4 linked regions of the Arabidopsis thaliana genome follow. The protein of the gene in region 2 interacts with the protein of the main gene of each other region in a pairwise test. Each region holds a gene or a part of one and is shown on either strand. Other genes may lie near its edges.

Region 1 (7,741 bases), on a different chromosome or scaffold from region 2:
ATATTTTTCTTAGTTCTTACAAATCTTATATTTTCTTACCTACTTTTATAAACATTTTTGAGACCACTATTACTAAACCCGAATCTGTTTCATCATTCCACACCCAAAGCATATAAATCGAAAATATCTATGATCACATGAATATCTATCATTTTCGACAAAATTTGTCCTTTTTTTTCTTTCTTTTTGTATCCAACCCCACCACGGCGAATTTATTTCAGGCCTATTAAAGATTCCAAAATCTCATGACCATCTGACTCAGATGTCATATCTATTAAAAACGTTATTTTGAATCTTAAACATATATCATTAGTGATCTTTTTGCACGTTTACTCAGATGCTTAAGATCATCAAAATCAATCTATGAATTTCAAAAGTTTTAAAAATCATACAATAGAAAAGTCCCACTGATCATTAAATTGTTATTACTAATTTTATTTAGAACTCGTTTATTATCTTTTGGTCAAAAATATAACTTTTGTCTGAATTCGTTTTTTTTTTGTTTGGACAAGAAAAAGACCTTTCTTCTTCCTTCGGTTGCCTCTACCATCTCATCAACACACATCTTCTCTTTCTCTTCTCTCATCCTCTCTCTTCTTCAGTGTTTACTTTTTCTCTTTCTCTTTTTTTTTTCTCTTTATTATTTCGCTTTAATGAGTTTTATCTGATAGAATCTGCTCCACCCAAAAACAGCATAAGAAGAAATTCATTGTCAGAGAAAAGTGCAAAAAAAAAAAACGATCTTCTTCATCATTCTACTAAATGGGTTCTTGTCTCAGTTCTCGTGTCCTTAGTACGTTCTCTACAATTCTCCATCTCCCATTTTTTTTTTTTTTTTTTTGTGATTCACACATGTGTATCTCTTCAAATCCGTGATCTTTTTGGTTAATCGATAATGGCTTTTAAGAAAAGGAATGAAATTTGCAAGAATCTTCTTCCTGTGATCTAACTGAATAAAGTTTTCCCCTTTTTTGGCGTTCTCTCAATTTTGACTGTGGTCAACGCTTTTGTGTGTTGTGCAGATAAGAGCAGTAGTGGTCTCGATGATCTTCATCTCTCGAGCTGTAAATCTTCATCATCAGCTACAGCTCATAAGACAGAAGGAGAAATCCTTAGCTCAACGACCGTCAAAAGCTTTAGCTTTAATGAACTTAAACTCGCTACTAGAAACTTCAGATCGGACTCTGTTGTTGGAGAAGGTGGCTTTGGTTGTGTCTTTAGAGGTTGGCTTGATGAGACTACTCTTACTCCTACCAAATCTAGCTCTGGTCTTGTTATTGCTGTTAAACGACTTAACCCTGATGGTTTTCAAGGTCACCGAGAATGGCTGGTACAACACTTGTTTCTTATCTTTGATTTATAACACTCTTTTGTTTTTGTGTGTGTAGGTTCTGATATTGATCTTTTTTTTTGTGGTTTCAGACAGAGATTAACTATTTGGGGCAGTTAAGTCACCCGAATTTGGTTAAATTGATTGGTTATTGCTTGGAAGATGAACAACGGCTTCTTGTGTATGAGTTTATGCACAAGGGTAGTCTTGAGAATCATCTGTTTGCAAGTGAGTCTTTGATCTCGTCCATGTTTTGTGAAACTTTGAGAGGTTGTTTGTTCTTATGTTTGAATGATTTTTTTGAAGATGGAAATAAGGATTTTAAGCCGCTATCTTGGATTCTACGGATTAAGGTTGCACTTGATGCAGCTAAAGGTCTTGCATTTCTTCATAGTGATCCCGTCAAAGTCATTTACAGAGACATCAAGGCGTCAAACATCTTACTGGACTCGGTATTCTTCTCTTTCGATGTCTACTTGTTGTCTTTATCAACGACTTAAAAGATACTGAGTTTTGTCTTTCAAACAACAGGACTTCAACGCAAAGCTTTCAGACTTTGGTTTAGCGAGAGACGGTCCAATGGGAGAACAAAGTTATGTTAGTACAAGGGTCATGGGTACTTTTGGGTACGCAGCTCCTGAGTATGTCTCAACAGGTACATTCTGTCACTAAGATATGATGCAAGTAATAATGGTTGGATAAGAAAATGTAAGACTGTTGCATGGTGCCTAACACTGGTTTTTAATGTAAATTTGAAGATAGCAACTATAAAATTTATGTGGTTAAAGGAGCATATGGGTTGATAGCTAGTTTCGTTCTCTCATCTTTCTATCTTTTTTCAGGCCACTTAAATGCTAGAAGCGACGTATACAGTTTCGGGGTTGTTCTGCTAGAACTACTATGTGGAAGGCAAGCACTAGACCATAACCGCCCGGCCAAGGAGCAAAACCTTGTGGATTGGGCTCGACCATACCTCACAAGCAGGCGAAAGGTTCTACTAATTGTGGACACTCGGCTTAACTCACAGTACAAACCCGAAGGAGCAGTGAGACTGGCAAGCATTGCTGTGCAATGCCTATCATTCGAACCCAAATCACGTCCGACCATGGACCAAGTGGTTCGAGCCTTGGTACAGCTGCAAGACAGCGTGGTTAAACCGGCCAATGTTGACCCGCTTAAGGTTAAGGATACCAAGAAACTTGTGGGATTGAAAACAGAAGACAAGTACCAGAGAAACGGTTTAAACAAAAAAACCGTTGGATTGTAGTAGGTAGAGGGAAATATAAGGTTACTTGGTTAGGTACTCTTCATGTCTTCTTCTTGTGTATTGTAATATTGTGCGAAGTGATTTTGACATTTTGTAACACTGCTTATAGTTTTGCTCCTGAAATATTCGATTTGGAGATACTTGTTTTCTCTCTATCTATAGTTTGGTGATATATGCCAAAATGTGGTAGTGATCAATTCCACTCTCTTCTAACATTTTAGTTTACTATATATGTAACTAATTTCTGTCAAGTTGATTTGTTTTTATGAAAATGACTTTAATTAGTATAGTTGATGATTGAATCATAAATAACTTGTAGCCAAAAACAGACAGAATAGTACAACAAACTCATAATGTAACATTAATATCAATTCCGAAGTTCACAAAATACCATAAATATCAAATTCCATGAACATTGTCATCAACCAGAAATAAATAAATTTTACGTTAATTAAGCCAAAATGGATCTCGAGTTAAATCAATATCAATAACTATTCAACATAGCCAAATAAGTCACTATTTTAGAACAAGAACTAACTCAATTTGAGGTTTTCAAAATTCCTATATCAATTTAGAACGAGAATCTCCAAAACACAAGTCACCTCAGTAAACTTATATATTTAAGGGTTACTTTGTTTTTGTCATAAATGTTAAAAGTTACTAAAACTGTTTTTTCCCCAATTTTTTTTACTGTTTCTCTAATTGTCAACAATCAACAATCTTTCCCTTTTTCCATTTAAAAAAACATACGCGAAAAAGGAAAAAACGCGATAAGGCCAAAAGCCCATTTAATAAATGGGCCAAGCTCTCCGATCAATAGAAAAAGATCTGTCTTCTTCTTCTCTATTCTCTGATCTCTCATAAGAAGGGCTTAGGGTTCACTTCAGATCTGTCTTTGAACATTGCTACTCTCAAGTGATCAAATTAACTCCGTCGCAGGTAAATTCCACAATCCTCCGACCGTAAACCCTAATTTATCACTGTTCTTCCAAGAAACAAGTTTTTGTTTTGATGAAATTGAGGATCTTGCGTTGAAATCGTTTTGTTTCTATGGTAGGTGATGAGGAGATACAGTCCGCCTTATTACAGTCCTCCGAGGAGAGGATACGGTGGTCGAGGTAGAAGTCCTCCTCCTCCTCCTCCTCGACGTGGATATGGTGGTGGTGGTGGTGGTGGTGGACGTAGAGGATCTAGCCATGGAAGTCTCTTGGTTCGTAACATTCCTCTTGATTGCAGGTAAATTCTCTTCCTTTGGTTTAAAGTTTTGATTTTGTTTTAGTTTATCTTTGAAGATTTCGTTGGGTTGTTGTTGATTTTGTTGTTTTTGATTTTGTAGACCAGAAGAGCTTCGTGAGCCCTTTGAGAGGTTTGGACCTGTGAGAGATGTCTATATCCCCAGAGACTATTACTCAGGGTAAGCCTCCTCTTTCCTTCTCGATATCTTGATCTTTTTCACTGTACCTGAAATTTGTGCTGCGAATTATGTCTTTTGAGGTGTGAATCTTTTATAGATGGACTAGTTAGGTAATGGCTTAGCATATGATTCTTGTTTTCCTGTAGAATTTGCTTTCTTTACGATTGAAAAATGCTGTCTAAACACTTTGCTGCTTCACATTCAATGCTGAACCATTTGTTTTGATTAAAAAGGATGTTCATAAGTCTTCAACTTGTGCACAAAGTGAGGAAAATTGCAAGTGACATATGAGTTTTGAATTTTGATTTTGGCGCAACCTGTGCATGTTACTTTTTTTATACACTCCACTTTTTGATCGAGCTAAGTTCTCGAGGTGAGAAGAGGTCCTTTTGGTTGAGTTCTCGATTTTTTCAGAGCTTTTTGTTTTGGAGTTCTTTTTTTCATAGTAAATTAAACATTCCACTGATTTCCCAGGGGGTATGTTGGCTTGAAGTTAAAACAAGACCAAGCCCCACATTTGATGAAGGCCTCATGAAAAAAATCTTAACTTAAGGATATTAAGGGTCATTTCAAATCAAGAATGTTTTGTTTGGAAGCAAGTTATATGTGAAGCATGTTTTATTTGGAAGGAAGTATTAAGTGAAGAATATTTTGTTTGGAAGCAAGTAATAAGTGAAGAATGTTTTGTTTGGAAGCAAGTAGTAAGTGAAGAATGTTCTGAATGGAAGCAGTAATAAGTGAAGCATGTTCTTTATGAAGCTATACAGTAAATTACTCAAAACCTTAGAAGTTTTTTGGGGAAGACGACCTGAAGAGAACTTAAGTTTGGGATCAAGTGCATCTTATTTTTACAAGATGCTTGCCTCTTTTCGAGTTGATATGCTTGAACTGTTATGAAAGGGTCAGCTACTAATCATATTAGCGTAAGTAGAACTCTGCTTTTCTTAGAAGTTCTCACACGATGACGTTTACTTAGAAGTTCTCAGAAGCTGTAGAATGTAGGCTGATTTTGCTGGTAATTCTAGATTTATCTGGTGTTTTGTGCATTTGCTTTCAACCATCAACCACTTGGAATGATAAGCTTCTGATAAATGATGCAGGCAACCGCGGGGGTTTGCGTTTGTGGAGTTTGTTGATGCATATGATGCTGGGGAGGCTCAAAGAAGCATGAACAGGAGAAGCTTTGCTGGAAGAGAGATAACGGTGGTTGTTGCTTCAGAGTCTAGGAAAAGGCCTGAAGAGATGCGTGTGAAGACTAGGACTCGTAGTAGGTAAGTTTCCATATTTCTGATTGCTTAAGCAAAAGAGTTATCAATCAAATCGCTCTTCGTGATTAATGCTCTGCAAGTTATCCATCATTTATGAAAAGAAGTTGAGAAGGAAATAATCGTTGCGTTGTCTCAATTTTTCAGGGAACCTTCAGGCTCCAGGGATCGTTCTCATGGTTAGTAATTTTCTCTCTGGTTATGCACATGTTATGTTCTATACCAGCAAAGTTTACACAAATATTAGCACAGCTAGATTGGGACGCACTTGTTTATACACAGCTTGAGAAAGCACTTGTTTATACATGTTCTCATGGTTTGTATACACAGCTTGAGTATGTTTATGATTTTTTGTTCTCAGGACGGTCTCGTTCACGTTCAATCTCTCGATCACGTTCTCCACGTCGTCCGTCAGATTCTAGAAGCAGATACCGATCAAGGTAACATGCTTCATCACACATACATTTCCATCATCATCAAGTCAACAAGAAGTATATATGGTTTTAGATAATGGTGTTACAGGTCTTACTCTCCTGCACCAAGACGAAGAGGAGGTCCTCCTCGTGGGGAAGAAGATGAAAATTACAGTCGTAGGTCCTACTCCCCTGGCTATGAAGGTGCTGCTGCTGCTGCTCCAGATCGGGACAGAAATGGAGACAATGAGATTAGAGAGTAAGTGAAACATGGTGTCTGATTTGTTTTGCCCCTGAAGATTGTGTCTGATTTTTCGTATCTGGACATTGATTGGTCTTAATAGAAAACCGGGCTATGAAGCAGAGGATAGACGTCGTGGTGGAAGAGCAGTTTCAAGGTCGCCATCAGGATCCAGGTCCAGGTCTGTGGAGGTATCTCCAAGATGAAACTTATGTGAAGAAGTGGCCGACCAAAACTTTGTGCAACGCTTTATGGGTTTTGCATTTCTCTAGTAGTGCGTCTCTGTGTCTTTAAAAACTCCTTACTCTGGCTTGTCAAAGATATTTTGTCTTGTGATGTGATGTTACTTGAAATCGGTTTCGGTTTATGGGTCTTATTATAAAATTGTATGAAGAAGATTGGTTATGCTTTTGATGTGAGACAGGTTTAAAACCCACAATGAGCGAGTAAACCAAGTCTTCTCTCGTATGGTCGAGGTCGAGAATTGCGACCTTTTTTTGTTCTCGAGCAGCCTTTGCAGATATTTAATTAGGAAAGTCAGGTCTAAGAATTTCTGAGAAGAAGAGAATAAAAAGACTCATTCATCTAGAAGAAGCCATAATGATGTTTTATTGGGTCTGTTTTGATCAAAAGTCCAAAGACTTCTACTTTTAATTGGGTTCGTATACATTTTTCAAGCAGCCAAGAGTCTTTCCTTAAACTAAGTAAGGGTAAGATGGTCATTTTAGCTTAGTTGACCAGACTTATAAACTTTAGGTTTTGCCTCCTGTTACGTAATAATGGTTTGGTTTGGTTTGATCAAGTCTTGGAACCACGACGCAGGTTATGTTTGAAAATTGAAAAAGAGTAAATAAGAATAGTAAAAAATCATTATGTGAACGAGAAAGTCTGCGTGTTCTTGCTTCTGTATTTAAAGACTTTGTCTGACACATCCACTTCATCAATCGTTTCTCTTTCTCCTTCTTCTTCTTCTTCTTCTTCTTCTTCTTCTTCTTCTTCTTCTTCTTTTTCTTTAGAAACAACACAAACCCCAAAAACTTAAAAAATAACTCTACAGAGATGGCTGTTGGAATCCTTGAGGTTAGTCTGATCAGTGGCAAAGGTCTCAAGCGCTCTGATTTTCTTGGTAATGATCTCTCTATTCTCTCAGATTTCGTATCCTTTGATCATTTAAAAAACCCTTTTACAACAATTTATATTTTTCTTGGTTTTGTATGATTGTAGGTAAGATAGATCCATATGTTGAGATCCAATACAAAGGGCAAACCCGCAAAAGCAGCGTTGCTAAAGGTAATTTAACTTGCTAGTTTCCTTCTTTCCATATTTCCAAATCTCTATCAGCTTAATTCGGGTTATTTCGTTTGACTTTTTTTTTCGTTTTATGCGAGAGAGACTATTTCTCCAATTTCATCATTTTCTTTTCTATATACTTGGACTTTAGGAATAAAAAGCCCACATGCTGGTGTTAGTTGATGGTTGTACATAAAGTAAATAATAGTTGCAACTTGCATCCATTGGTATTTCAACTATCCTCATAGCCATTACATGGTAGCTTAGGCTATACTATTTATTCGCGTTTTGATAACATTCATTATCTTTTATCAGTTATAACATTCATCAGGTTTTTACGTTCTGATGATGCATAAGTTATATAAATGCATGTTTTAAAAGTGTAACTTGAAAATAAAACAATCAATTTTCCAAAAACTAGCTAACTATTGTTCGTGATTATTCGGCAAAATTTGTTCATCCCAACTCTCAAATGCTTTCCGCTACTTTTATCATTTCACTATTTGTCATTACACTATTTT
Region 2 (7,488 bases):
GCTTCAGATATTTTATCAAATAATGCATCCAAATAATTTTGAGCCACTAGTCAAATATCTTCTTCGTCTTCTTCTTGCTTAATATATATTTTAGTGAATCTATTATTGATACCACACACACATCTTTGATATTTCACAAAAGGTATCTATCGGAGCCGTACATATATTTTACGAAAATGTGGATAAGAGCGAGATTTGGATTGGTATTGGTAAGGCAAATTAAATGCGACACACTTCCACATTCATGATTCCACAAATTCTAATGGATTTGAACAAATATGGGACCAATTTTTATTTGTTTCAACTCCTAAATGTGGGACCAATTAACAAGGTTGATGTATTCTTCTTGTTCTTCCTCGTTCATTAATAGTTTGATTGAGCATGCACGCTTCTCTCAACCCACCAGTCCAAGTCAAACCTCCTCAAGCCATCCCCTAATCCTATATATCAGTTTCTTCTCGCAAACCACCTCACAATCTATCAACAGTTTTAAAAAAAGACATAACTCAACCAATCTCACTTTGAAAAAGACATGAACAAAACCCGCCTTCGTGCTCTCTCCCCACCTTCCGGTAACTATTTTCTCTTTAAACAGTATTAATCATGTGTTTTGCTATTCACATCACCAAATTATTCATAGTTTAAAGAGGTCGATGTAGAATTCATAGATATACATGTGTACATACGTGACTTTGTGACGATATATCGTTTTAATTTGTTAAATTTTGATCCCTTCTCTTAGGTATGCAACACCGTAAGAGATGTCGATTGAGAGGTCGAAACTACGTAAGGCCAGAAGTTAAACAACGCAACTTCTCAAAAGATGAAGACGATCTCATCCTCAAGCTTCATGCACTTCTTGGCAATAGGTTCGTATTCATTCTTCTTATTCTTTAATTCAATAGTAATGTGAACGGTACGTGCTAATAATCATTTTGATGTTATGTTTTTTCAGATGGTCATTGATAGCGGGAAGATTGCCAGGACGAACCGACAACGAAGTTAGGATCCATTGGGAAACTTACCTAAAAAGGAAGCTCGTAAAAATGGGAATCGACCCAACCAATCATCGTCTCCACCATCACACCAACTACATTTCTAGACGTCACCTCCATTCTTCACATAAGGAACATGAAACCAAGATTATTAGTGATCAATCTTCTTCGGTATCCGAATCATGTGGTGTAACAATTTTGCCCATTCCAAGTACCAATTGCTCGGAGGATAGTACTAGTACCGGACGAAGTCATTTGCCTGACCTAAACATTGGTCTCATCCCGGCCGTGACTTCTTTGCCAGCTCTTTGCCTTCAGGACTCTAGCGAATCCTCTACCAATGGTTCAACAGGTCAAGAAACGCTTCTTCTATTCCGATGAGAAATGGTGTATTTGTTTGTACACATTTGTTATATTACAAATGCACATATTATAATATTCACTAGAGAGATGGTATAACGATGTTTGAAATATGTTAATCCTGAATTGGACCGGCTGGTCATTGAACAACTATTCTCTTAAATGTCCGGTTCTGTTTTCAGTGATTAGTATTATAGTAGATCGTTAATAACTAACCGACGATAACCGCTGCTTATTTGATCAATCAAGCTGTAAGAAATTATAGCTAATACAGCAATGTTAACGGTGCACATTGACGGGAAGTATTAATTAACTCTCTTAAAATGGACAAGTATGTTCATTTTCCTCCAAACTACACTTTACTCTTTATTCAAAAGCAATTTCAAACTCTCGTTTCGCACAAAGGAATCTATAAATACGAAAATTACTTACTAAAGATATAAAGGAAGCAAATTAGTTAACTTATAAAATAATGAAATGTATCGATTTAAGGATGTCTTAAGCATGGAGACTATACGGTCAAATATGCACCAACTAGTACAAACACGTTCACATATATTTTGAACAAAACTCACAATGAATTTGTTTAAAGTATCTTCATACATGCTTAAAATAAAAATTAGAAAGTAAATACATTTGTACAACCGCTATTCAAACATCATCAAATATTAAACAAAATTGCATGACCAAAGAATATGAATGTTTGACAAGTATAGAAGAGGAGATTGTTTGCTAAGAAAATGGACCAATATTTATCATCGAAACTACAATCATCATTAAGGTTGTTTCTACGATTGCGGGATCTACAACCATCAAAGAAGTTGTTTCCACAACTGTATAAACTCTGATCTCACCTTCACTTTCATATTGTTCCGCAAGTACAACTACACCATAAATTTCAGAAATAACGGTGAGTATTGTGGTTAATGGAGAGTTGTGTGTGGATGTGCAAGCAAAAATCACATGCCTCATCAAACACTTCAAGGTTATTAATCTTCATCTGATTCAGACGAATACCCTCTTCTTTATGTAGATCTTTTTATTTTTGCATATGTCCAAAAATAATTATGAAACCAGCCAGTCAAACTTGCCAAAAATGTCTAAAAGATAATGTTGTCTATTTTTCAAGTTGCTATCGGTTGTTATGTAGGACGCAGAAGTCACGGGCATGGACGTCGGCCGATATGATGTGGATGTCGTGGTTGAACCTTTCTTTTGTTAAACCGAGATAACTTTTCAATACAAGACTGTCACAAACTATATGTAAGTCATGTTTATAAATTTTAATCAAAAGTATACTAAACTGTGGTAAAACAGTTTTAAGAAAATTATAGGTCCCAATTTGTATACATGCTTCAAATTATCTAAAATGTTGTTAAAATTCGATCTACCGGGTCATGTTCGACCGTTCCATTTGCAGGCTATATAATACTCACCAAAATTATGTTAATTGACATAATTTTTCTAGAACATTTTTGCTGTAAGAGATATTAAATTTTCTTACACATACAAAGTTATTTTTAAGGGAAAATAAAACATGTAAAGCTATATTTAGTTAATTACAAAGAAGATTTTTTCCATCTTTTAATAAACACTAGGGTAAGACAGATCATATACTAGAAACACATGTCAATACAATGCATCTAAAGGCCTGGAAATTTTATCTTAGTTTCTTTTCAAATAGAAAAAATAACTAATTTGACTATTTATTACCATTTAAGATTACATAAATAATACATACAGATAAATTTCATAACTCCAACATAAATTTCAACACAACTATAAAATACAATCATATAAGATCTACTTTACAACTAAGCACACAACAAACCATTTTCTTCAATAAATAGAAAAGTGGATTTTTTTATTGAATTTAAAAGTATAGTTCATTTCTATTATACAGTTTTGATCTAATATAAATGATAATAATTGATTATTTTTTTGACAACTGTATCATTTTCTCTTCAACCTCTACTTGCACCGTGAATCTCGCTCTCAATTATCTAGTTTGTTCTATTGTATTATTTAAATGTATCACATAAACTTTTATCTAAAAATATAAAGCCAGTAAACTAAAAAGAAAAGAAAAAACCATTTTTAGAGTTAGATAAAAAGTTTAAAACAAAAAACACTAAAACCAAAACGGTGTCGTAACAGCGACTTATCCTTTTTCGCCACATGGCTTCGTTGGATACATAAAAGCGATAGAGACGCATCTCTGAGTCAGAAGCGAGCCAGCGAGAGAGAGAGAGCGAGTCACAAAAATTCGAATTTTAAGCCGCCGTGTGAGACGGCGTAATGGCTGGTGGAGCTATCACTCCCGATTCTCTCATCGGTCTTATTGCTGAAATCAATGAGATTCCGGGGAATTTTGGTTTGTTTAAGAAGGATTGTTCCGATCTCGCGCGACGAGTCGGTCTCCTGACGCATTTGATTGAGGAAATCAGGGATTCTTCTCCGCCGTCGGAATCTGATGCTTCTTCTTCGTTGAATTCTCATGAATGTGATTGGTGGTCTGATCTTGTGGTGGGACTTCAAGCCGCGAAGCGTCTTTTGTCTTCAGCTACTAGTTTCCAAGCTCGCGAGTCCTCTGTAAGCATTCTAAACCATTCTCAACGATTGAAAATGGATTTGTGATTTCACGAAGATTTGGTCTCGCCATGGCAGGAACGTAATTTATAGGAAGAATTTGTTTTTAGTTTTTTTAGATTGGAAGATACTATTGTTGACATTTGTGTAGTGAAGAGCATTATTAATATATACATGAGGAGCTCTCTAAACTTTGATGTGTGATTTTGATTGAAGGATGGGGCAGCCAAGAGGATCTCATTCCAGTTCCAATGTGTTACATGGAAGCTGGAGAAAGCATTAGGTGATTTGACATATGATAGATATGATATCTCTGACGAAGTCCGTGAACAGGTAAAAGTTTGTTCATTATGTAGAATGTATGAAGATTTGGTTTTCCTATCCATGGAGGTGTTTCTAAGGGTTTTTTTTTGCTTGTGATTAGGTGGAACTAGCAAGATTACAGTTAAGAAGAGCAATGCAGAGATATGGATCGTTAAATTCGAAGAAGTTCTCGAGTGGTTTATCTGAGCCAATGGAGAAAGATGCCTCAAGTAATAGAAAAGTTATTGAAAAGTTGGAGAGTATTCCAGAGACAGTGCATTCTTTATCAGATGAGAAGAAATTTGAATCACCCCCTCCTTGGAAGAGCTCTTCAGTATCATTGGCCTTCTTTTTATCAAAGGATGGTGATGATGAGAGATTAGAGAAAGCAGTTACCGAGAACAGCGATGACTCACAGAAATCGGATAATCTCACGATTCCAGAGGACTTTCTTTGTCCAATCTCTCTGGAACTGATGAAGGATCCTGCTATTGTTTCCACAGGACAGGTCTGGTTTAAAAAATCAAATCTTTATATAGTGCTAACGTATGGTTGTTGATTTGAAACCTTAACAATGATCTTCTCTCTTCGTTGGCAGACATACGAGAGGTCGTTCATTCAGAGATGGATAGACTGTGGAAATCTGAGCTGCCCAAAGACACAGCAGAAACTTGAAAACTTTACTCTTACTCCAAACTATGTCCTCAGAAGCCTGATATCTCAGTGGTGCACTAAGCACAACATTGAGCAACCAGGTGGTTACATGAACGGTAGGACCAAAAACAGTGATGGGTCTTTCCGTGATCTAAGTGGAGATATGTCAGCGATCCGAGCATTGGTTTGTAAACTCTCTAGCCAATCAATCGAAGACCGCAGGACTGCGGTTTCTGAAATCCGCTCTCTGTCAAAAAGAAGCACAGACAACCGAATTCTGATTGCAGAGGCAGGAGCCATCCCTGTTTTGGTCAAGCTTTTGACCTCAGATGGTGACACTGAAACGCAGGAAAATGCTGTCACTTGCATTCTTAACCTCTCCATATACGAACACAACAAAGAACTGATCATGCTTGCAGGAGCAGTCACATCTATAGTGCTAGTCCTCCGAGCTGGAAGCATGGAAGCTAGAGAAAACGCTGCAGCTACTCTCTTTAGTCTTTCGTTAGCTGATGAGAACAAGATCATTATAGGCGCATCAGGTGCGATAATGGCCTTAGTGGATCTGCTTCAATATGGAAGCGTCAGAGGGAAGAAAGACGCAGCTACGGCTCTGTTCAACTTGTGTATTTACCAGGGAAACAAAGGCAGAGCAGTTAGAGCCGGTATAGTAAAGCCATTGGTGAAAATGCTGACAGACTCCTCGAGCGAGAGGATGGCTGATGAAGCCTTGACCATACTCTCGGTTCTAGCTAGTAACCAAGTCGCGAAAACTGCGATTTTGAGAGCCAACGCAATACCACCTTTGATAGATTGTCTCCAGAAGGATCAACCGCGAAACCGAGAGAACGCAGCTGCGATACTACTGTGTCTTTGCAAGAGAGATACTGAAAAACTGATCTCCATTGGTAGACTTGGAGCTGTTGTTCCATTGATGGAACTATCAAGAGACGGTACAGAGAGAGCTAAACGAAAAGCTAATTCTTTACTAGAGCTTCTCCGTAAATCATCCCGAAAATTAGGTTCACTCTAAATAGCCCTTAACATGAATTAATTTAGTTTTGCTGGCTATTGATCTGTTTATTATGTCCTGTATCTTATTGAGTTTTTGGAAGACTAATTTAATTTCCATTTGAGGAGAAGGTGGAGTCAAAAGAGTTAACGAGAATCGAACTCTTTGACTCATCTTTGTATTGATTTGTTAATTTTGTTAAAAAAAATGTTTCATATGATTTGATAAAGGTCGTGTGTTGTTACTGTTCCTAGAAAGAGAAATCAAATCAGCTTTTTGTTTTCAAATTCGTTAAAAGTCAATCTCTTCACGTGTCTTTGAGAAAAAATGTTTCGACAACGTAGTTTTCCAGATTAATCGGAGCGATTAACGCAAGTGTCATTTTCTCAGAAAACATTGGTCTCAAAACTTCCAAAATCACATAGTACAAAATATACTATGGTCGAAGTGAAGAACAGTACACATTTTCCATTTCTATTTATAAAATTAAGCATAAATTTTGGGTTGTTATTGGTCTTTTCAAGATTGATAGTGAAATGCGACGTAACTTTTGTCTTCTCATTGTTTTAATAATTTTCAAGATTTTGGCATTTTGTTGACCAAGAAATGGTTCACTATCATCAGCAACCAACCATAAATCAAATCCAAAATCTATAATGATCTGATCTAACACAACACCCACCTTGAACTACTGAGCTCTTAATAGACACCAACCTACAAAGTTTTTTCATCTCATTTGTGAACCTAAAAGATACTAACATTTTACACAACATCATTCACCAAAATGGGAAATAGCTTGGGAACCAAGAAAACAGCGACAATCATGAACATCAATGGCGAGAGTTTCAAACTGAAAACGCCTGTGGAAGCTGGTACAGTGGTTAAAGATTTTCCAGGCCACGTTCTCTTGGAATCCGAAGCAGTGAAGCGTTTAGGAATCAGAGCAAAGCCCTTGGAGCCTCACCAAAACTTGGAATCCAAAAGGATTTACTTCATGGTTGAACTTCCAAGGTATTATATTCCTCAATTTTCTACTTAGTTTTAGGTATCAAAGTTAGAATCTTTTTGAGTAAATCATTTAAAACCCATGTGACAGAACATGGAAAGAGAGAACTCCAAGAAGGGTTCGGTCGGGAATCCAGATGAGTGCGAAGGAGAGATTAGAGAATCTGAAGCTGTCTCGTAGATCATCATCTGATCTCTCGGTAATGAAGAAGAAGACAGAGGTTAATGATGAAGAGAGAGAAGTGAGTAGCGTGAAGTTGAAGTTACCAAAGTGGAAAATTGAGAAACTGAGGAAAGAGAGTGAGAGTGGCTCTGATTTCTCCAACAAGATCACACAACTTTGTCTCCTTCACATACCAAGTGGTTTGATTCATCAAAGACAACATTTGCTTCGTAATGGAGGAAGAAACTTTGGGATTGAAGAAAAAGAAGAAGGTGCCAAAATCACATGAGGTGATCAATACTTTTGAAGGGCTTTGATCCTATTTTATTTTTGTTGAAACATCGATCCGTTTCTCAAGCCACGTTTCTCGCTTCTTTAATTACACTAGGAAACAAATGTACTCCAAC
Region 3 (7,341 bases), about 22 Mb from region 2:
TAACACAGTAGTTGCGAGTCAGGGAAAGATGTGGGAGCTGCTTCTGAGTATTGGGGCAAGAGTTTTCCATCACAGAACCATTTCTCGACACAGACCCGTTCATAAGTCTGTCCAGAAGCAACAATGACAGGATCACGCATAAGCTGCAAAGATATCTGTTCTTCTGGTGGAATGAAAATCTGTCCTGATTTCCTACTGTTCATAAGCTTATAGTTGATAGAACCAAACTTCGATAGTTGGCGCCCAAACGCATGAACACGATGTTCATTACAACCTTAACCAGAGTCATTTGTCATCCACAATTTCACTTCTGAATAGCTTGGAGTACTTTTTCATGAGATGCAAGATGTAAGCCACAATGGAATCCTTCCCCTTGTCTTCTTCCACACTTTCCCAGTCAATGAGTTTCTTTAAAGCATGTCGCCTCCACCATAGCTGATCTAGAAGAAGTTCTACTACGTTCCACCAGAGCTGTCACAGGAGTTGTCAAATAGTTCAATTACCCGATCACCAACACTGAATCTGAAGAAATCACAAATCAAAATTAGAATTCGCAACTAGGAACTAGCAGATACCAAGTTTTACCAATCCGAACTCTAATTTCAAGAAACAAATAAACACGAGGGTATGCTTGTGTAATCAAAAAAACAAAAGACAAGCAAGTAGCTAGCAAGAGATACATAAGCCCTAATGTGAAAAAGGAAATGTGTTGTGCACTAAAACAGACATCACCTGAAACCCACTTGATCTAGGAACAATGTCCTCCATGCGTCTAAGACTTTTCATACATGCATATTTTGGTTTCTCAATTTCTACGGTATAGCATCCCCAGTGATGGCCTGTTTACAAGGACCAAAAAAAAAAGGGGGAATTCAACAGACCACAACAGAATGGAGGATACCTATCCAAAGAAAGTGAGATAAAGAGAAATTCACCAAGTAAAGTTTGCTACACTCAAAACAGTGTTGAAGAATGTTCTTTGCTTCCTCAAGTGAATTATGTAACGAACACAAGGCTTGAATCCCGGGTTTACTCCGAGGTCTTGCAATTTCCAACGACAGGAAGATCGACCACACCTTGTAATAAAGTGCAGATAATTTCTTGCACACACATCTCTATGTAACTGCATTTTATCAATGCCCATAACCACAACTTTAGCAAAGCATAGAGAACAAGACCATCAAATTAAACGAATCACGCAAACAAAGAATAAGAACAGGAATCCAAAAAAGGAAGAAAAAAAGACTAGAAAGCACTAATATTTTCAACTCAGGATTAACTGTCCCCAAGAAGATTACCAATTACTCCCTCAACAGAAGACTTTCTACAATCAACAGAGAAATGGATCAAAGGTAAAAGTTCCTTAACATCAAAAAAAAAAAGCAATCCATTCATGAATAACGTCATAACATACTAAGTAAAACCCAATGTTTTAATTTGATTCCAACAACTACTGACAGGAATCTTTGTGAAAGAGTGATGAATGAAACATATCATTTATGAGGATACCTTGGGCATCGCTAGCAGCGGACAAATTCTCCTCGACTCAGAATTTCACAACTAAAGATTACAGGGACCATACGTTCCTCCGGTTTTACCATCTTAGTAGCAGCCAAATCGTTCTCTGCTACTTTTGGACTAGCGGCACACCGCTAATAACGAGTCTTTTTGTAAGAATACTGCATGATTTTCGACAGTAATAAGAAGCAGCCTTTATCAATCGTTGTTTCTATCAAGATTTATTTCTTGTTGTTCAGAAATACCTTGGACAGAAAATAATGCCAACAAAGCCTTTTATATGTTCACCGAACAAATTCAGCTGCCAGTGAGCTTGAGAACCAAAGTAGAGACCAAGAAGTGGTGTTAATGGAGTTAATACAGTCGCTGCAACGCATATCTCCAAATTGACAGCATTACTGGAACCTGCAAAAACCAACAGTGTCAAGCCAAATTCAATCCCTAAGTGGTCAAGTAGAGCGTAACATAGATGAGCAATTCATATGTTACCTGAAAAACAGCTCTGTTCTGAACACACTCAAAAATAGACGACAGAGATTATACACTCGTGCGTAATTTACCAAGAGAATCAAAGCTGGAGGAGAAGGCATTGGCAATGCCACCAAAGAACAGTATCGACGAACCTAAAACAATTTTCCAGAACTCAGAGCTGGAGATACTACGGCGGCGGTGGATACGACACGGCTATTGCGGCAGAAGCGGACATGGCTAAACATGGAACACGATAAACATGGGGGAGAGGGAGTGGCTAAAGTGCGCATGGGACACGGCGGAGAGATTTGGGTCTCTATGTGACCGTCGGCGGTAGAAAAGGGCGGTCCGATTGGTTCGGTATTTTTTAGCTCTATGCACCTAATTTGATTCCGTTCATATGTTTTGACACGTGGACGATCAGGATATCATTATTTTATCTTCTTTCAACCACTTGTGTAAGTGTAACCAAGTATAAAAGAGAAAACAAAAACAAAAACAGCCTTTGGAGAATGGACCAGCAATTTAGTTATTTTTTTAGCAAAATTCCAAGAAACTTTACCAGCTTCGCATCCATATAGTAGTATTTTATAACGAACTACCTTTCGTCCATTCAATAGAATGACTAATAGATTGAAAAAGAGTGTGGATGATAAAAAGGTCAAAATACAGATTCATAGCAGCAAAAACCGAGATCCCAAACAAATTTGCATTTTTAAAATAAAAATATTTCATTGAAATCTAAGCCAAAGTTTAATATTATTTCATTTACGGGGTTTGGGAAGATTCGTCGAAGGAGGACATGCAGGCACAAATCACAAATATCACTCACCGCCTTTGTTTGACCCTTTCCCCCACAAATCATCAAAATTTACTGTTTTACATTCTCTCTCTATCACTCTGCATTTAGCCATGGGAGACGCAGAGAGCACTAAGGATCGCTTGCTGCTGCCGGTAGAGAGAGTCGAGAACGTGACATGGAGCGATCTGCGAGATGGTTCATTCACCGTAGAACTCAAAAGGCTTATCTTCTTCGCCGCTCCTATGGCTGCTGTTGTTATCGCTCAGTTCATGTTACAAATCGTTTCAATGATGATGGTTGGTCACCTCGGCAATCTCTCCCTCGCTAGCGCCTCTCTCGCCTCCTCCTTCTGCAACGTCACTGGCTTCAGCTTCATCGTCTGTTTTCTCTTCCTTCTTTCCCCTAAATTGATACACTTATCTCTGTTATTTTGATGATTGTTACTTTTTGCCTGTGGTGTTAGATAGGATTGTCATGTGCCTTAGATACTTTGAGTGGTCAAGCTTATGGAGCTAAGCTATACCGGAAACTAGGAGTTCAGACTTACACTGCTATGTTCTGTCTTGCATTAGTGTGTCTCCCTCTTTCTCTCATTTGGTTCAACATGGAAAAGCTTCTTTTGATCCTTGGCCAAGACCCTTCTATTGCTCACGAAGCCGGAAAATATGCCACCTGGCTTATCCCAGGACTGTTTGCTTACGCTGTTCTACAGCCGCTCACTCGCTACTTTCAAAACCAGAGTTTGATCACACCTCTCCTCATCACCTCCTATGTTGTGTTCTGTATCCACGTTCCTCTCTGCTGGTTTTTGGTTTACAACTCAGGGCTTGGTAATCTTGGAGGAGCTTTGGCTATCAGTTTGTCAAACTGGCTCTATGCCATTTTCCTTGGATCTTTCATGTACTACTCCTCTGCCTGTTCTGAGACACGTGCGCCGCTCTCCATGGAGATATTCGATGGCATTGGAGAGTTCTTCAAATATGCTCTTCCTTCTGCGGCTATGATTTGGTACTTCACTTTTCTCTGTGCCTTTTCACTTCTCAAAGCCTCCACACTAAAAATTATGTTGTGTGTTGCAGCCTAGAGTGGTGGTCTTATGAACTTATAATATTACTCTCTGGTCTCTTACCCAACCCACAACTGGAGACTTCTGTGCTCTCTGTCTGGTACTCCTCCTTGCATCGATCAATTTCTTCTTGTTACAATTTTGAATTTGCAAGAACATAATGTTATTCACACTGTGGCAGTCTTCAGACAATTTCAACAATGTATTCGATACCACTAGCAATCGCGGCTGCAGCAAGGTTAGAGCTTTAGTCACACTATGCAGTACATAAATACTGAAGCATATTTTCTGCTCATGACAAGGAATCATATGGTTTCATATTCATAAGCGGATGTTTATTTCTTGTGCAGCACAAGAATCTCAAATGAATTAGGTGCTGGAAACTCTCGAGCAGCACATATCGTGGTCTATGCGGCAATGTCTCTTGCAGTTATTGATGCATTGATAGTTAGTATGTCTCTACTAATCGGCAGGAATCTTTTCGGGCACATTTTCAGCAGTGACAAGGAAACTATCGACTATGTTGCAAAGATGGCTCCATTGGTCTCTATTTCTCTCATGCTTGACGCTTTACAAGGGGTCCTCTCAGGTCTGAGACTTGTTCTTCTTTCTTTACTCACACACAAGTTCTTGTCGGATATTGTTTACTCTTTTCCTCCACATAGTGCAAAGACACTTCATGTTCTGTGTTTTGTCCTGTGTCAAAAGCTATCCCAAAAATATACTCTTTTCTACCACGCCTAATTGTCTTTTGATGGTTTGCAGGTATTGCAAGGGGATGCGGATGGCAACATATAGGAGCTTACATAAACTTAGGAGCTTTCTATCTCTGGGGGATACCCATTGCTGCATCTTTAGCCTTCTGGATTCATCTGAAAGGTGTTGGCCTTTGGATTGGAATCCAAGCCGGTGCCGTTCTGCAAACGCTTCTGCTTGCTCTTGTCACGGGCTGTACAAACTGGGAAAGCCAGGTCCTACTTCTTTTTCGTTCTTTTCTTCTTCATGACTAGTTTCTCTTGTGAAATAAACATACAGATCTTGAATTGGATGCATGTTTGAACTGTAGGCCGATAAAGCGAGGAATCGAATGGCTTTGGCCTATGGAACATAAGGCGCTGCAGAACAGCACTTACAGAATCAGATCTCCGCGTCTGAAGATATAGGGACCTGATGATCCTTCGGTTTTACCATTTTGTTAGTAGTCAAATTGCTGTACTGTATGTTACTTTTGGACTAGTGGTAGCCGCAAGTAATATTGCATGGTTTTCCAAAAAGGAGCCTTTTCTCTGTTCTCAACAACAAAGAATAATGAACAGATTCACTGGACTGTGAGCTTGACCATACAAGCAGAGACCAAGAAGTGGTGGTATTGATGGAGCTGCTACAACCACCACATATCTCCAAATTGACAGCATCTGATTTCCTGTCACTAGTCCCACTTCTCACAAGAGTAACTGAATTACTCGAACCTGTTAAAGTTATCAAACCAATTTTAATGATCAATCTTGGGGCAAGGCTTTAAAAGGCACCCTCAGTGTCAATTAGAAACATAACATAGAGTTTCTACTGAGTCTTGGGGCAAGAGCTGTCCATCAGTGATACATTCCTCAATACAGACATGTTCATAAGTCTGTCCAGAAGCAAAAAATGATTACCTACTCTCCATGGGCTTATATAGTTAATAGAACTAAACTTTGATAGTTGACACCAAATGCATGAACACGATCTTCATTAGAACCTTGACCAGTGAGGGAACATGGTGTTGGACACTAAGAGTCATATATCATCCAAAATTCCACTTCAGAATAGAATGGAGTATTTTCTCATGAGGTATGACAAATAATTGATTCCTTCCGGTTGTCTTCTCCCACACGTGCCTTGTGAATGAGTTCTTTAAAGCACGTTGCTGTCACTGCAAGTTGTCAAATTTCGTCAACTGTTGCAACCGTGCAATCATCCGATCACCAACTTCCTTCTCTGATATGGATCAAGCAACAATGTCCAAATCTGAACAAATCACATATCAAAATTAGAATTGCAACAAGGAACTACCAGAGACCAATTTATAAATTCAGAAGCAAATATACACGAGGGCATAATTAATCAAACTGGCTGCAAGAGACTTATAAACCCTGAACAGTTGCTAATATCGCATGGAGGACATTGTTGCTAGCTCAACTGGGTCTCAGATGATGTCTGTTTCAGTAAAAAGTAACACATAACTGCATTTTATCAATGGCCATAACACACAACTTTAACAAAGCATAGAGAACAAGACCATAAAAACATAAATTACATCAAAGAACAAGAACAGAAATCTAAAAACAAAGCAAGAAGGAGCGATCACACTTCAAATAAACCAATGAGGTAGTGGACAAAGCCCTCACCTAATTCCAGATCAAACCGGCGGAGATGACGGGTGAGGGGAAGTCAGCGCAGGATAAACATGGGAGGGAGAGAGATAGTGGCTAAATTCCACATGGGTGACAGAGGGCGCCAAAGTATGACTTACTTGGAGTGATTTGGATAGAAAATGGTGACACGTGGACACTCAAGATATCATTTTTATCTTTTTCCCAACCACTTGTGAGCTGTGTAGGAGAGAAGTAATGAACATATAAGCAAAAACAAATGTTGTTACAAAAACAAGTCCCCACCACATTTACTACTACTAGTTTGACAAACATAAACACATTTCCCTTATTAACATTTCTTGTTAACCACACAAAGTTAATAAGTAACCCAAGTTTATACAGTTTTAAAACATTCTCTCTATCTCCCTCCGGCTAGGCTGTAGCTGTTCGCCATGGGAGACGCAGAGAGCACCTCCAAAACTAGCTTGCTGCTCCCGGTGGAAAGAGTTGAAAACGTGACATGGAGAGATCTGCGAGATGGATTATTCACCGCAGAACTCAAGAGGCTTATCTGCTTTGCCGCTCCTATGGCGGCTGTTGTTATCGCTCAGTTCATGTTGCAGATCATCTCAATGGTGATGGTTGGTCACCTCGGAAATCTCTCCCTCGCTAGTGCCTCTCTCGCCTCCTCCTTCTGCAACGTCACCGGCTTCAGCTTCATCGTCTGTTTTCTCTTCCTTCTCTCCTCTTTATCTCTATCTATTACTAGTTATCAAATTGCATCCCCTCATTACTTGATTAGTTGATTGTTACTTTTTGATGCTAGGTAGGATTGTCATGTGCCTTAGATACTTTGAGTGGTCAAGCTTATGGAGCTAAGCTATATCGGAAAGTAGGAGTTCAGACTTACACAGCAATGTTCTGTCTTGCATTAGTATGTCTCCCTCTCACTCTCATATGGTTAAACATGGAAACGCTTCTTGTATTCCTTGGCCAAGATCCTTCTATTGCTCACGAAGCCGGCAGATATGCTGCTTGCCTCATCCCAGGACTGTTTGCTTACGCTGTTCTACAGCCTCTCACTCGCTACTTCCAAAACCAGAGCATGATTACACCTCTCCTCATCACCT
Region 4 (7,168 bases), on a different chromosome or scaffold from region 2:
TATTTACATTATAGTATTAACAGCAGGTACCACCGTCCACGTGTGCATAAAGTTTTGGTGTTTCTAGACTCTCTTGTCATACTACTAACTGAAATATTGTAATATGGTTTTCACACTAAAAAATCGAATCAACCCAATATATTATCAAATCAAACCAACGACGATAAATTTTACCTAAAACTTTTTTTTTAAAACGATTTTCAGCCGAAATATCACAAGATTATCGGTCTTGGGCTAGACTCTAGAGAGGGATAGATAGATGGAACTTAGAAAATAATAAATGGAAAAAGATATTAAAAGAATAATAACTTTGAAGTTCAAAGTACAATCGGAATGGAATATCAGTCTTTTGCGTGAATGCGTGTGATGTGAGTCTTGACGTCGTATATGGAACCAAAAAGGTGAAAAAGCAAACCGAGTTATTAAACCACTAATTAAAACTATAAGACATTCTTAGCACATCGGATTAAATAGAAGAAAATCAACAATAATTGAGAACGGAAGCATTAATTATGACATGTAATAAACGGGAAAAACAACGACAATTATGGACTTTGGAAGCATCGATTGTACTGGGGTTTGGAGCATCAATAATCCATATTTTGGATACAACAACAATTTTGTTTGTTTTTTACTCAAATAAAGATGCTATATTTGTTATGTTCAAAATCTCTATACATCTTTCGGTCTACGGCCAAATAGGCAAATACTTGCACCAATTACAAGCAAGTAAGTTTATATCTTGACATATAATCAATATATGATATAGTCCATGCGATTCCAGCTAACCACATATAACTAATTCATACTTTAGTGGAGCTAGCCAGATATAACTTTATTCATATAGTAGTGTGGTTATGAATCCAATATATAATTGATAGAGAAATGGTAGTTTCGAAGTAACGAAGGTTGACAATTTCAAAAAGCCCATACAATCAGTTTGAGAGACTTAAAAGAGTTGAATAATGTACAGCAACAACGAGTCAAAGTCATGCTTGTGTGTTACGTGTTCTATATGTGTCCATGATTATAACGCAATAGCAATATCATGTCGGTGCGCTAACTTGTTTTGACTTTTTGGGGTCATTAAACTAAAACATCAGTTTCAATATACATATACATGACGTCATAAACGTTCCATTCAATCGCTATGCCATTTTAATATAATAGAATTTTGCAACTTTTTTTTTTCCTCAAGGTAGAATTTTATAACTATAGATTAAAATTGGATAATTAAAGTTCTTTGTTCGTTTATTTGATTAGTTTTTCTGTAGTATAGGGTCAAACAAGGCAATGTTAAAAGTCAACCATCTTCTTTATTTATATTTGTTCCTAGTTAATTACACTTAACACTGTTTGTTAATTCATTGAAATTGTTTTGTCATGTACTAACTATTGATTATTCAGTCACCGTCCCATGACATGATAATCCCACCAAGGTACCAACACGTCCAAAACAACGAAATAGGAAATTATTATTTAGAATCTAATGGGCTAAAAATAAGGCCCAAATAAAAAGCAAAGGCCCAATATATACTGTCACAAAAACCCTCAAAGAACAGTGAAGCTCTCATCACGATCGCAACAATGGCGGCTGCTGCGAAGGAGATCCTACGGCGACCAGTGGCGGCAACAATAAGGCTAACCGTTCCGGCGGGAGGAGCGAGGCCAGCCCCACCGGTAGGTCCGGCGCTAGGTCAGTACAGGCTTAACCTGATGGCTTTCTGCAAAGACTTCAACGCTAGGACTCAAAAGTACAAACCAGACACTCCGATGGCCGTGACGATAACGGCGTTCAAGGACAACTCTTTCGAATTCACCGTCAAGTCTCCGACGGTGTCGTGGTACATCAAGAAAGCAGCTGGAGTCGATAAAGGAAGCACACGCCCGGGTCATTTGTCGGTGACGACGCTATCGGTGAGACACGTGTACGAGATCGCGAAGGTGAAGCAGACGGATCCGTTTTGTCAGTATATGCCGTTGGAATCGATTTGCAAATCCATCATTGGTACTGCTAATTCTATGGGTATCAAGATCGTTCAGGATTTGGAGTGATTTTAGGGTTTCTGATGAAAGAGTGGAATCAATTTGCTTCTGGTAAACGTCTTTGCTTTGAGTAGTAAAGTATAAACCATGAATGAATTTCACAGATTGTTTTGTGTTTTGGTGTTACTTCCATTGTGTTGTTTGTTTCAATGGATAATTGAGCTCCAAAAGCTTTCCAAAATCAAAATAGATATTGAGTTTGTTTAACTTTGATCGTTTGAATAATTTGGACAGTAAAGACATTGCATTGTTGTTGTTGTGGATGTAGAAATTGTTCGTATGAGCAAAGTATTCTAAAGTTTGGTCCTTTAACTTGATATATCAGATTCCATGGAAGAAGTTTTCCTCTGTAAATTCGATTTTTTCAGAGAATTGTGTGTTCATAGCTCAGTGATTTGAAGGAACAATGGGGGTGGTCTGAAATGGCAAGACATAAGTAGGATCTTAAGGAAACAACAATCTCAAATTAACAAAACTGAAAGCTTTTGAATTGAGTTGCTTGAATCTTCTTCTGCAATATGTTTTCAAGTGTCACAGCTTTGTTTGTAGTTGTATGTTTGGAGAAACTAGAACTTTTCTTGTGTTTCATTGGAGATTAGTTTGGAGTCTGTAATCGAGCCCCAAGCTTATGAGTTATGACTATCAAGCTCGATGAAATGTCCAGCTCGAACTAGTTGCTTTTGTGACCGGATCTTTAAAATTTGCCGTCTGTCTATGGAAGTTTTTGAAATTTTGGTACCATATCGAATGTTTTTGGTCAAGCAAGACATTGACTTGGCCCTTGGGAAACAATAAGACAGAGACACCTGACCGGAGCAAAGGGCAAAATAGAGAAATAGGGAAAAAAAGTTTAAATCGGGAAAATCTGAAGCAACGAGATTGATTAAAAAAATCACAGAAAAGAGCAAAAAGTGGAGAGGGTCTTACGTTTCAGGGCCACACGCAATCTGAGTGCCATTCCTCTCTTTGTCTTTCTCTCTCTCTTTCTCTGTTCTAAGAAAGGGAAGCTCTTTGTCTTTGTTTGGGTCCTTGCCAAGATCCAATTTTTACGATCAAAATCGACCCGGTGGAATTCAGACACGTCTTTTAGATAGAGATATGTCTTGTTCATCTTCTTCCGGATCAGAAGGAGAAGAAGAGGGTTTCGATGCTTACCGTAAAGGTGGTTATCACGCCGTCAGGATCGGCGATCCTTTTTCCGGTGGTCGTTACATCGCTCAGAGAAAGCTTGGTTGGGGTCAATTCTCCACCGTTTGGCTTGCCTACGATACGCTCACCTCTGTACGCATCTCTCTTCTTTTCCCATTTCTTCGATTGTTTTGTTGCTTTGATCGTAATTCTTCATTTTGACATCAACCATTCATTGGTTTCATTTTTCATCTGGCCTCTGATCTCTGACATATCGAGATTGAATCACATTTCAATGGCACTGTTGCAAGCTAAAGACTCGTCCTTTATATACAATACGCATCTGTTACTCTTAGAAGTCCAATAGATTTTAGTGCAAGATCATTGCTTCATGTGATGATGATTCTGATTTTGATATTGTTGGATTATAGCCCTAGATTTGGCACTGTACTAGTAGTCTCCTCTAGTTTACCAGATTTGTTAGCTCAAAATGGATTGCGTATTAAATGGTTATAGAATCTTTAATCATAGGAAGGTAACTGTCACCCTATAAAGTATATCCTAAGAATGTTTTGCTTTGTATGTTTTTATGTCTCTTGTTGTAGACTTATGTTGCTTTGAAGATTCAGAAGAGTGCACAACAATTTGCTCAAGCTGCACTTCACGAAATCGAATTTCTTTCAGCTGCTGCTGATGGGGATCTCGACAAGACGAAATGTGTTGTTCGTCTTATTGACCATTTCAAGCATAGTGGTCCAAATGGGCAGCATTTATGCATGGTGCTTGAGTTTCTCGGCGATAGCTTGCTCCGTTTAATCAGATACAACCAGTACAAAGGTCTGAAACTGAATAAAGTCCGGGAGATTTGCAGATGTATACTGACTGGTTTAGATTATTTGCACCGTGAGCTCGGTATGATTCACTCCGACTTAAAACCTGAAAACATTCTTCTTTGTTCCACCATTGACCCTGCCAAAGATCCCGTTAGATCTGGACTCACCCCACTATTAGAAAAACCAGAGGGAAACGCAAACGGTGGCGCATCAACAATGAATCTGATTGAGAAGAAACTAAAGAGAAGAGCGAAAAGAGCGGTTGCTAAAATATCAGAAAGAAGAGTCTCAATGGTTACAGGTGAAGAAGCATCATCGAAAACGGAAAAAAGTCTAGATGGGATTGATATGAGATGCAAAGTGGTTGACTTTGGTAACGCTTGTTGGGCTGATAAACAGTTTGCTGAAGAGATACAAACAAGACAGTATCGAGCTCCTGAAGTAATACTAAAGTCAGGATACTCTTTCTCTGTTGATATGTGGTCTTTTGGTTGTACGGCTTTCGAGCTTGTCACAGGAGATATGCTATTTGCACCTAAAGATGGAAATGGTTATGGGGAAGACGAGGTAAGATCTAAATCTAACCTCAAGAGTTTGCTGCTTCATTGTTTTAGCCTGATTTCTTATACGTTTTTGTTATCTGGTTTTGGATTTAGGATCACCTTGCTCTTATGATGGAACTCCTAGGAAAGATGCCTCGAAAGGTATGTGTTTTTTTTTGCTTTCCCACTGTGTTTTCTTGGTTTATAGTCTGCTTTTTGATATGCTTGTTTGAGCAGATTGCCATTGGAGGGGCGAAATCGAAAGACTACTTTGACAGACACGGGGACTTAAAGAGAATCCGACGGTTGAAATATTGGCCACTTGATCGCTTGCTGATTGATAAATATAAGCTTCCGGAAGCAGAAGCAAAGGAGTTTGCTGAGTTTCTGACTCCGATTCTTGAGTTTGCGCCGGAGAAACGACCAACTGCTCAACAGTGCTTGGATCATCCATGGATGAATGTAACAACACAGAACGATGCAGAAAATGTAGATGACCAAATGAACAACTTGCATATCAAAGGGTGAGAGAAACTCAAACTTCTTGTTTTTTTTGTGGTTTCATTCCTTTGTTCGTTTTCTTTTAATATAACTTTCTTCTTCTCTTTATATGTTTTTTGTTTTGTATAATTTCTCTTTTTTTTTTGGGGGGACCTATGATATATTGATTTAACCATCGAGTTCATTTGTTGCTTATTAAGAATGTCTATGTAGCGATGAATTGACTAACAAAGATGTTGCATCTTCTTATTTTAGACTTTGAATTTTGAATGTTCTTTTGATGTTTTGATATTATTGCTAGATGTCAGTTGGTTTGGGTTTAGATCAAATTTGGTTTTGGGTTTGTTTCGGTTGCTAACAAAAAGTTTTAATATCTATTTCTATCAGAATTTAATTTATTTTAACTAAAAAATGGTAATTAGTATTTGATCGAATCTAGAAAATTACTAGATCCCATAATTTACGAGTTAGTAGTACGTATGTCTAAATTGCAAATTTTGTTTATCCCTCTTTTTAATGATAGTTCATTTGTTTCTTGTCGGTTAATACAAAATTATTTTCTTGTTAAAAATATAAATGTTTCTGTCGGTTGTTTTTGTCAGCGTCATGTAGATATAGTGCAGTTACATTATACTTTATTGACTATCATATGAGTTTTTTTAGTATACCTGGTCAAAATATAACATGAAGTTCCTATTTTAGACATGTCATTGTCAATGTATTTATTCAAGTAATAAATTTAGGTTTGATAGAAACCAAAATACCCTAAATGGTGAAACTGAAATTTCACTGTCATATAAATTAAAAAATAAAAATTTACTCTAGTTAGTAGTAATTCTAAAAAGCGACATGGCCAGATGGGTTTTTAACTTTCAGACCACATGTGACGTACATGACTTCGTAGCTTTGTCTTTAGAGAATTTGCGTGTACTTCTGTGTCACACGTTCCATATCACCACGTGGATCTACACGTGACACCCTGTATCCAATCGTTGAATCCATTCAAAAATATTTGTTTCGTTGTAATTTTCTTATTAGCTAATTGTTTCTTAGCAAATAAAAAATGGATTAGATGAAGAAAAAACTTACCATTCAACAAAAAACAAGTACATCACTTTATTGCATCTATGAATCCAAAATATCAAACTTTCTTCTACACAACAACTGCGAATAAACCCATATATGTATTATGTATATATTTAACAATATATAACATAAATTTTAAAACACATCCAAAAAAGGAAACAACAATGTGATTCTTCTACCGAAAATGGTAATGCTGACCAAATCTTGAAAAAAAGAGTCATTTTTTCTGTAGACAATGGTAGTCACTATGACCGTACGGCTTTGTTCTGCTTCACACATTCTGGTGCCTTTATGTCCTGGCATTTCCAAGACGACGATCCTGCTATGACCGTGATCGCACCACCGTCTTCCTGCGGCTGAGCCACCGGTAATGGAGACGCGGAGGAAGTTCCGTTTTCTTGATTTCTAGAATTACAAATGCTCAAAGGAAGCTTCTTTAGCTTCACTCTTCCTCTTCTTTTAACCAATGAGTTGCTTTCTTCCCCTGATTTCTCCATCATCAGCATCGAATCCGCTTCATCCCTGTTTGATCTAGCTATCTCTAATCCTTCATAGGAGCTGTCTGAATCCACAACTCCAGCAATGTCTTTCATAGAACCGGTCACTATAATACTACTACTCCCACCTTCAACTACGCTCTTGTTCTTCTTCTGCTTCTTGTATCTCTGACCATTCTCCTCGCTAGTTCTCAAGACTCTAGGATACGACGTATTGTCTATAGCTCGATGCAACCTACGCGCTAAATCATCTTCCTCGTCTCTTAGCTGCCCCTTTGAATACAAGAGCTCGACGGGGACATGTTTCTTCTGCTTGTTCTTCCTAGGAGACCTCTCCTTGCAATCAGCCATTGCTTCTTTAGGAAAAGAATCAACCAATTCCAATGCCCTCTTAGCCGCAGCAATCGCCTTAGCGGAAATCAAAGCCTTCTCGTTAGCAATAGCTCTCGCAGCCTTTGCAGCTTTAACCGCTAAAGCAGCTGCAGATCTCGTTGCCTCCACGAGCTCTTCAGGTGACTGGTCATTGTTGAAAGGA

What was found.
Region 1: the proteins of AT1G71020 (region 2) and SCL30 interact in a two-hybrid assay, tested with the Arabidopsis thaliana proteins (one large-scale study listed by BioGRID).
Region 3: the proteins of AT1G71020 (region 2) and AT1G15170 interact in a protein complementation assay, tested with the Arabidopsis thaliana proteins (one large-scale study listed by BioGRID).
Region 4: the proteins of AT1G71020 (region 2) and AT4G35500 interact in a protein complementation assay, tested with the Arabidopsis thaliana proteins (one large-scale study listed by BioGRID).

The regions. Positions count from the first base shown.
Region 1 is NC_003074.8:20,557,367-20,565,107, forward strand, and holds SCL30 (SC35-like splicing factor 30), read left to right. Parts: upstream 1-3,435; 5' UTR 3,436-3,536; intron 3,537-3,654; 5' UTR 3,655-3,657; coding exon 3,658-3,833; intron 3,834-3,933; coding exon 3,934-4,011; intron 4,012-5,111; coding exon 5,112-5,282; intron 5,283-5,423; coding exon 5,424-5,455; intron 5,456-5,637; coding exon 5,638-5,716; intron 5,717-5,798; coding exon 5,799-5,948; intron 5,949-6,033; coding exon 6,034-6,136; 3' UTR 6,137-6,519; downstream 6,520-7,741. Other genes in the region: PBL1 (PBS1-like 1), read left to right, coding at 763-841, 960-1,330, 1,423-1,558, 1,637-1,782, 1,862-1,985, 2,173-2,597; AT3G55470 (Calcium-dependent lipid-binding (CaLB domain) family protein), read left to right, coding at 6,990-7,056, 7,155-7,220. UniProt on the Arabidopsis thaliana protein: Involved in intron recognition and spliceosome assembly. Probably active at the 5' splice sites.
Region 2 is NC_003070.9:26,789,271-26,796,758, reverse strand, and holds AT1G71020 (ARM repeat superfamily protein), read left to right. Parts: upstream 1-3,439; 5' UTR 3,440-3,653; coding exon 3,654-3,947; exon of another isoform or gene 3,948-4,160; coding exon 4,161-4,277; intron 4,278-4,368; coding exon 4,369-4,755; intron 4,756-4,845; coding exon 4,846-5,934; 3' UTR 5,935-6,210; downstream 6,211-7,488. Other genes in the region: MYBL2 (MYB-like 2), read left to right, coding at 533-572, 743-869, 956-1,376; AT1G71015 (plastid movement impaired protein), read left to right, coding at 6,698-6,924, 7,010-7,370. UniProt on the Arabidopsis thaliana protein: Functions as an E3 ubiquitin ligase.
Region 3 is NC_003070.9:5,217,789-5,225,129, forward strand, and holds AT1G15170 (MATE efflux family protein), read left to right. Parts: upstream 1-2,614; 5' UTR 2,615-2,901; coding exon 2,902-3,168; exon of another isoform or gene 3,169-3,254; coding exon 3,255-3,799; intron 3,800-3,870; coding exon 3,871-3,957; intron 3,958-4,038; coding exon 4,039-4,095; intron 4,096-4,207; coding exon 4,208-4,446; intron 4,447-4,622; coding exon 4,623-4,828; intron 4,829-4,923; coding exon 4,924-4,968; 3' UTR 4,969-5,185; downstream 5,186-7,341. Other genes in the region: AT1G15165 (RING/FYVE/PHD zinc finger superfamily protein), read right to left, coding at 1-192, 329-471, 733-839, 955-1,123, 1,510-1,540, 1,764-1,923, 2,162-2,279; AT1G15180 (MATE efflux family protein), read left to right, coding at 6,664-6,933, 7,038-7,341.
Region 4 is NC_003075.7:16,854,331-16,861,498, forward strand, and holds AT4G35500 (Protein kinase superfamily protein), read left to right. Parts: upstream 1-3,022; 5' UTR 3,023-3,144; coding exon 3,145-3,327; intron 3,328-3,740; coding exon 3,741-3,772; intron 3,773-3,779; coding exon of another isoform or gene 3,780-3,808; coding exon 3,809-4,574; intron 4,575-4,663; coding exon 4,664-4,711; intron 4,712-4,786; coding exon 4,787-5,077; 3' UTR 5,078-5,273; downstream 5,274-7,168. Other genes in the region: MRPL11 (mitochondrial ribosomal protein L11), read left to right, coding at 1,588-2,055; AT4G35510 (PHD finger-like protein), read right to left, coding at 6,382-7,168.